Mus musculus: one gene and its partner. The protein of the gene in region 1 interacts with the protein of each later gene in a pairwise test. Links are inferred from orthologs where the notes say so. Each region holds a gene or a part of one and is shown on either strand. Other genes may lie near its edges.

What was found.
Region 2: the proteins of Troap (region 1) and Dyrk1b interact in binary tests that used the Homo sapiens proteins (3 or more experiments, as listed by UniProt). The link is inferred for Mus musculus from reciprocal best matches to the Homo sapiens genes TROAP and DYRK1B.

Annotation. Positions count from the first base shown.
Region 1 is NC_000081.6:99,077,771-99,081,047, forward strand, and holds part of Troap (tastin), read left to right. Parts: intron 1-61; coding exon 62-141; intron 142-476; coding exon 477-553; intron 554-865; exon of another isoform or gene 866-878; coding exon of another isoform or gene 879-927; intron 928-1,013; coding exon 1,014-1,132; intron 1,133-3,034; exon of another isoform or gene 3,035-3,095; coding exon 3,096-3,179; intron 3,180-3,277. UniProt on the Homo sapiens protein: Could be involved with bystin and trophinin in a cell adhesion molecule complex that mediates an initial attachment of the blastocyst to uterine epithelial cells at the time of the embryo implantation.
Region 2 is NC_000073.6:28,178,950-28,183,340, forward strand, and holds the start of Dyrk1b (dual specificity tyrosine-phosphorylation-regulated kinase 1B), read left to right. Parts: upstream 1-1,366; 5' UTR 1,367-1,398; coding exon 1,399-1,477; intron 1,478-2,559; coding exon 2,560-2,723; intron 2,724-3,411; coding exon 3,412-3,531; intron 3,532-3,629; coding exon 3,630-3,818; intron 3,819-4,114; coding exon 4,115-4,262; intron 4,263-4,391. Other genes in the region: Fbl (rRNA 2'-O-methyltransferase fibrillarin), read left to right, coding at 1-94, 182-206.

The DNA of each region.
Region 1 (3,277 bases):
GGTGTTCGTGTCTGGCTCGGGGCTGTTTCTCACTCTGTTTTCCTGTCTTGCCGTGGATCAGAATCCACCTCCAGGCTCCTCTCACTCCTCCACTCGACCCAGCTTACAGGAGCTAAGAAGAGAGACATGTGGCGGCGGCAGGTAAGGAGAGTGTAGATTCCCTTTCGACCCCAGACGGGAAAAAGTCACTGGGCAGGGCCGAGGGTTCAGACTTTGACAGCTGAGCCTTATCTATGACATGGAGGACATGGGGAGCGCTGCGTCATTTGGCTACAGCGTAAACTGACAATAGATGGCTTTTGAGTTCAATTCCTGACCCTTACCACTACTAGCTGTGCAAGCTCACCTTAACCTGCCTGCGTCTTGGCTTCTGCATCCCCATCGGCCAAGTGAGGTTAACACTGGTACTGTTAGAGGCTACTGCGCTGGTGTTTGCAAAGCCCTTAGCTAATGCCCAGCCCTTGCTTGGCACTCAGGGACGGGGACTGTACTGACAGAAGGACCTCAGCAAGCCAAGCCTCAAGACTGCTCCTGAAGACCCCGGTTCAGCCTGGTGAGTTTGTGTGGATGTGGGAACAAAGGAAGGGTGAGTGCCTGCACCAGGAAGGCAAGGGTCAGCAGGCCTCAGGGAGTGGGGTGAAGTAAGGGAGAGGTTGGAGGGAGGTCTGGCTCAGTGGTGGCGTGCTCCTCCAGCATTCACATCCCAAAAACACACACACACACACACACACACACACACACACACACACAGCAGACAAGACCTCCCGGGAAGGTCAGAGGTCAGCCTAGTTGTGCGTGTATCTCTGTTTCTGCCCTCTCCCTGCCACTTCCTGCAAGACAATGTCTACTGTGTTCTCTGTCCCAGTCCCTTGTGAGCCATGGCCACCAGCCCACCCAGGGCATTGGGATTGATAAGTGTTTGCCAAGGTATTATTGTGCTCTCGGGGGATGCTGAACGGGTAGACTTTGGTGTTGTAGATACTACAGGAAATGAATGTCCTGTCTCCTCCCAGCTTCCTTACCCCTCCGAGGCGAGCAGGAGGCTGTCCCTCACTCCGACGACGGAGGGGGAAGACATCATCTGGGTCTGGCTCAACGGATACCATTAAAAGAAAGTCTGACAAACACCAGGGTGAGCCGAGACCCTCCCAGGATGGGGAAGGGGTGTTCAGGAGGCACACTGAGGGTTGTGGGTAGAATTGGCAGACCCGGGACTCAGGGTATTTGGTCTTTTGCTGGAGTTGGGACCAAGCCCTCTTCAGGGTAGATCTGACTTCCTTTGTTGGGTATCTGGGACCCAGGGTGAGAGATGACAGACTGTTATGTGTGTCACTATCAAATCAGTACAGTGGCTTAAACATGGCCAACACTTACCAACCAAGCATTAATTCCTTCATTCCACTGGCATTTGCTAACTGGCTTTTGGATTCAGCCATGGTTCTAGTTCCAGAAAAAATATATGTGTGTGTGTGTGTGTGTGTGTGTGTGTGTGTGTGTGTGTGTATGTGTATGTATGTGTGTGTGTGTATATATATATATGTGTGTATGTGTGTGTGTGTGTGTATATATATACATATGTGTGTGTGTGTGTGTGTGTGTGTGTGTATATTCTAGAAAGGGGGGCAAAATAATAAAAGACAAAATAAACCCCACCCCACAAATGTAAAATGAAATATATAGGATGTCACATGGTGACATGTTCTTTCTAAAACTAAATGTATAAGGTACTGAAAGGACGTGGGAGAAGGATTGGTGTCATAAATTGGTAGTTTAGAGCCACGCTTGGTGGAACATGACTGTAACCCAGAGGAGGCAGGAGAATTGCCTGGGGCTGAGCCATCGTGAATTCCAGGACAGCCTCGGCTATGTAGCAAAACCCTGTGTTTAAAAATAGAAGGTGTGTGTGTGTGTGTGTGTGTGTGTGTGTGTGTGTGTGTGTGTGTGTGTGTGTGTAGGGGAATGGATGAGTAGGGCTGGCAACTTAACTCCCATTGGTCAACTTATAACTGCCTGCCAGAACTTATAACTGCCTGCCAGCCAGGCATGGTGGCGCACACCTTTAATCCCAGCACTTGAGAGGCAGAGGCAGGCAAATTTCTGAGTTCAAGGCCAGCCTGGTCTACAGAGTGAGTTCCAGGACAGTCAAGGCTATACAAAGAAACCCTGTCTTGGGAGAAAAAAAAAAACCTGCCTGCCTGTAATTCCCTCTCAAGACATCTGATGCCCTCTTCTGGCTCACATGGGCATCCAACACATACATAAATTCGGGAAAAAAATTGTTTAATGTTTACAAAGGGCATGCTAAGCAGTCTTTTTACAAAATGTAGTATGGCTAAGGCACTGTCATTGGGAAGATAAGGATTGCCTATGAGACCAGAGTTGAGGCTGTGACTCAGACAAGATGGGGAGGGCTGCAGATGCAGAAGCCCCGAGGAGAGGAGACATCTAGTCTTTGTGAGTTGGCAAAACAGACCAGAGAGGTTGAAGCCTAGACGAGAAGAGGGTCTGAGATGAGTTTGCAGTGACGACAGGTGAGAGATGAGGTAAGGACAGACAAACCAGTGTAAGTTCTTGGTAAGGACAGACGAACAGAGCACTTGTAAGTCCTTGGTGAGGACAGATGGACAAAGCACTATAAGTCCTTGGTAAAGAGCTACAAACAAGTTTAAGTTCTCTGCTCTTTCTTGGGCTGAACAAGAGTCAGGGGGAGATGCATGAATAGGGAGAGAGAGTTGGTTTCTCACTTGAATAAACCACTCAAGCGCCGCACATCGTGGCAGTGTGCCTGTACTCCTAGCCTCTTCCCTACGTGAGCCCCCAAAGAGTAGCTGCTGCAGTGGGGAGAACAGGAAGGTAGCTTTGGGGGCCTCCACTGGACGGTGATGGCTCCCATCTGCTGCCCTCCCTCCCCCATTCCTGCAGCCCAGTTGTATAGTACCACCTTCCATCACCGAACAGTCAGCTGTTTATAGACAGTCTCAGGGTGTTCGCTCCCCAGGCCTCTCAGCTGTGATTTCTATCAACAACCCTTGGGCTGGGCAGGATGAGAAGAGTTTGGCTGGAAGCCCTGCTCAGCCAACCACCTCTCTCCTCAGAGCACATATTCATCCATGAAACGCTTTGCCATTCGACGGAAAGCCCAATTCACACCCCTCCGATCGCTACCTAAAGTTCAGCAGGTAGGAGAAAGCAAAGGAGGGAACCAGTAGGGGCCAGGACTAGGGAGGAAGGGAGGAAGGACAGATGGATGAAGCAGTGTAAGTCCTTGGTAAGGACA
Region 2 (4,391 bases), on another chromosome or scaffold:
TGAAGAAGATGCAGCAGGAGAACATGAAGCCGCAGGAGCAGCTGACGCTAGAGCCTTATGAGCGAGACCACGCCGTGGTTGTCGGTGTGTACAGGTGAGTGTCACAACAGACCTCTCCCTTACCTGTGGCCCTGAGAAGCCAAAAGTGGTTACAACTCGACCCCCTCTGATTTCCTCACAGGCCACCTCCCAAGGTGAAGAACTGAAACTCAGAGCTGTCTGGATTGAAGAGATGTGTGTTGTTACTGTTGCACGTGTGGCTTGTGATTTTTTGGGGGCGGGGGAGTTGTTTTGTTTTTCTATTAAAAGACTCATCTGTCTCCCCTGTCTGGTGCCTATTGCTAAGTGGCCTCGAGACGCATGCGCCCTTGATCAACTTTGTGTGCTTCGGGGGGTGGTGCCTGGAAAGTTTCATCCGGTCACATGGTGCATGCTCCATTGGTGGCTGCTCCGCACGTGCGCGGCTCAGCACCCTTAAGGCGCAGGCGCACTGTGCTCCGCTAGGTCACGTGAATGATGTGGGGGCGGAGCCGGGGCAGGGGGGCCGGTTTGTTGTGGTCGCCATTTTGCTGGTTGCATTACTGGGTAATCGGGGCCCTGGCTCGCCGCGTCCACCGGACACCCTCAGCCAGTGGGCAGGTCTGAGCTCGGGCTCCCCGAGCAGTTTGAATCCCCTTACCCACGCCCTCAGGTAAGGGTGCTGCGACGGGCGGGGCGGCACGCTTGGGTGGGGGGCAGGCCGGGAACCGCCCTGCCCGTCCCCGCGAGATTTAGCAAGGGAAAGGAGGGGGCTTTGGGCCGTTGCAGCGGAGTCCGGCTCTTCATAGCTGGATTCCTGGAAGAGGCTGAGCCCGAGGGAGCCGTCCTGAGAGGGAGTCGGGGAGGGGGCAGCCAGGCCCCACTCCCGCCCTTTGTTTGGGCTCGGCTGCGCTGGCCGCTTCGCTGTCGCCTAGCAACAGCTGCCCTGAGTGCTAATTGGTTAAGCTCTTGGCAGCAACAACCAATGGCGCGGTTGTTGCCATGGGAGGTGCGGCCTGCCGGGCTCTCTTGGGCCCCGCCCGCCGGGACTCCACTGGCCGGGGCGGGCCTGCCGGGTGGGGGGCGGGACGCCAGGGTCCCTGGGGGCGGGTGGCCACGCGGGGCGGGGCTGGGCCGTAGGGCGAGGGTTAACCCGCCCCTCCCCCGTCCACCTGCTGTCCCCTTCCCCCGCGTGCCCTGGTCTGACCCTCGTCCCCTCCTTTCCCCGCCCCTCCCCCTCGGTGGCAGTGGCGGCGGCTGCTGTTGTCACCCACCGGGCCGCCTGTCCCGCTTGCCCTCACCGCCGCGGGGCTGGCTAGGCTAGCCGGGCCGGGGACAGGCGGCCACCTCCTCATCGCCGCCGCCACCACCACCGCCGCCATGCTGGCCGCTCGCCCACCGCACTGGGGTCCCCATCGCGCTCCAGCCCCCCGTGGGCCCAGCGCCATCCCTGACCCGGGTAGGGGTGGGAGCTGTAAGAGCTGGTCCTAGTGTGGGAGGGCTCGGGAAGAGGTTGTTTATCTGTGAAGCCCCAATAAAGGGGACCTGGAGTGGCAAGACATAGCATAGAAGGGGATCTGACAAGGGGGAGGCTCCTAAGAAGGGGATTTTGTTCCGAAGGACACTTTTAGTGAGTGAAGTCTTGTGCGATATTTAGGGATTTGGCTGTCAGGCCCTTCTAGGAATAGGCTCAATTGTGGAATGACCCAGCGTAGAAATAGAGGAGCTAGCAAGGACCTCAGGGTAAAGAAGAAAAAGACCGTGACTCTTAGATGTTGAAAAATGACACCTCTCCCTTGTTTTCCTGAGGAGTAGGGGTCTTGGAGTAATGGGGGAATCCTAGTGGGATAAATATAGACTGCTTAAAAGAAGGATCTCTGGTTCCAGAGACCTCATATAGGGAGCAGGGAGCGGTCTTGGAGTATGGAGTCGGTCCCAGGGGAAAGTGCCGAGGTGGTTGAAACATCTATAGCTTGCATGTAAAGGAGTTCTCAGATAACCTTGGGTTTGCTGGGAGGTCCATAAGGACTGCTATGTTCTTTAGAATAGAAAGAAACTAGTGGGTAGACTGGGCTTGAAATTGGGCCCTTGGTGTTGAGGGAAGACGGTGTGAGGGCGGGGCCTTATCTGAGGGACTCAGGCTGGCCACCAGTAAAATTTTGAAGGACTGAGTTCTACTGCCCAGACTCTACACGGTTTCTGCCTTCTTTTGCTCTCCTAATTCCTGGCCTCTTTCTATCCCTCCTGCCCTGGCCTTGTACCCACCCTCTCCCACCCCTGTCTGGCTCTGATGGCTCCCTTTTACATCTCTGGATGTGATGCTTCATTCATTTTTTTTGGCTCCTCATTTGTTGAGAGACACGCTGTGCTAACCCACTTGCTACCCTTTCTGTTTGTACATGGCTACCTGGTGCTGGTGCTCTGCCCTGTCCCCTGTCTCCCCCTGGTCCTGCCCCTAACTCATACCCACCTCTTCTGACTGACCCTGACCTACATGCCTTCTTGTTCCATGTTGTCTTCCCACTTCCTACCTGCTCTCAGGTCTCAGCGGCGGTGGCAGCCGAGGTGCAGGATGCGAGAAGGCGCCCCCCGGCCGGGCTCCCGCTCCAGGCCTCACGCCCCTGCGGCCCTCTGAGCCCACCATGGCCGTCCCACCAGGCCATGGTCCTTTCTCTGGCTTTCCGGGGCCCCAGGAACACACACAGGTAGGCATTCAGCTGGCTTCTCACCTGCCTGAGGATTGAAGGGTCTCCAGACAAGAGCATGATTGTTGGAGGATCTCTGGGGACTTTGGAGGCCTCACAGTCCACCCTCATTCCTGCTGAGGACGGAATCCTTGAGCTTCTCCGTGGCCTGCCCTCTCACAGCATGGTTTTGAAGTGTAATGTGTGTCTTGGGTCAGAACTGTCACTGGCACAGAGCAGACAGGAACACAGGTCTGAAGGTTCACAACAAGAACGAGGTCTGGAGTAAGGGGCATGAGAGAGATGTCGAGGGGGGTGGAAATGAGAATAAGCTGAGACCAGGGAGACTAACCCAGTCCAGGAGCTTTGTAACTGGGCAGAAACACTCACTTGAGAGTGAGGACATGGATACAGGGAATTCATTGGCATGGTTCCCCATAATGGTGGTCTCAGGTGCAAAGATTCAGGGGTAAACACCCAGATATGGAGCAAAAGAGCTGACCTGGGGCAGAATGGAAGGCCAGAGGTAAATCACTCATTTCACATAATGAACAGATGAATGGGGAGCCCACACAGTGTGCTTGTGCTCTACAGGTGGGATCGGAGCTAGAGAAATGTAGGCATGGTCAGTGAGTCGTCAGCTTTCCCATTCTCTCCCTGGAAGTTGAGGTGAAGGCTTGTGCTCAGCATCTGCTCCGCTCTACCACAGGTACTACCTGATGTGCGGCTCCTGCCCCGGAGACTGCCCCTGGCCTTCCGGGATGCGGCCTCAGCCCCGCTGCGCAAGCTCTCGGTGGACCTCATCAAGACCTACAAGCACATCAATGAGGTAAAGCGGGGAATGGACTTCCCTGGTTGGGTGTTGCAAAGGGTCCTGGCTTCTTGCCCGGGTCACTTAAGGGTCCGGTTTCCTGGCTGCCTGAGCAGGTATACTATGCGAAGAAGAAGCGGCGGGCCCAACAGGCGCCACCCCAGGACTCGAGCACCAAAAAGGAGAAGAAGGTCCTGAACCACGGTTATGATGACGACAACCACGACTACATTGTGCGCAGTGGCGAGCGCTGGCTAGAGCGCTATGAGATTGACTCTCTTATTGGCAAAGGCTCCTTTGGCCAGGTGTGGGACTCCCCACTCATCCAGTATCTGGATGCAGACAACCACTAACATTCCCAACATTCCCTCCTCCCCGAGTGGTTCACTGGTTCACTTGCTGCAAGTTCTGTCCTGGACCAGCCAGTCAAGCCACTTAGTTTCCCTCTTAGTTCTGTATGAGTATAAATCACAAGGCTTCTTGTAAGAAAACTGTTATTTTGTATCCAGTATAAGGGATGTGAGCACTGGGCTGTGAGTTGTTAGAAAGGTGTGGCTGGTGGGCCTCCCACCTTCCCAGGTAACTCTCCTTGTCTCGACAGGTGGTGAAAGCCTATGATCACCAGACTCAGGAGCTGGTGGCCATCAAGATCATCAAGAACAAAAAGGCCTTCCTGAACCAGGCACAGATTGAGCTACGGCTGTTGGAGCTGATGAACCAGCATGATACAGAGATGAAGTACTACATAGGTGAGGCCTGGGCTTGGGCAGGTGCAGGGTGCCTGTGGGAGAGAGACCTCCACGAGGGTCTTTGGGCTTCTCATCCTTTGATTCTCCTGCTGTGCTCAGGATTTCTCTCTTGTGCTCACTGAGGGCCAG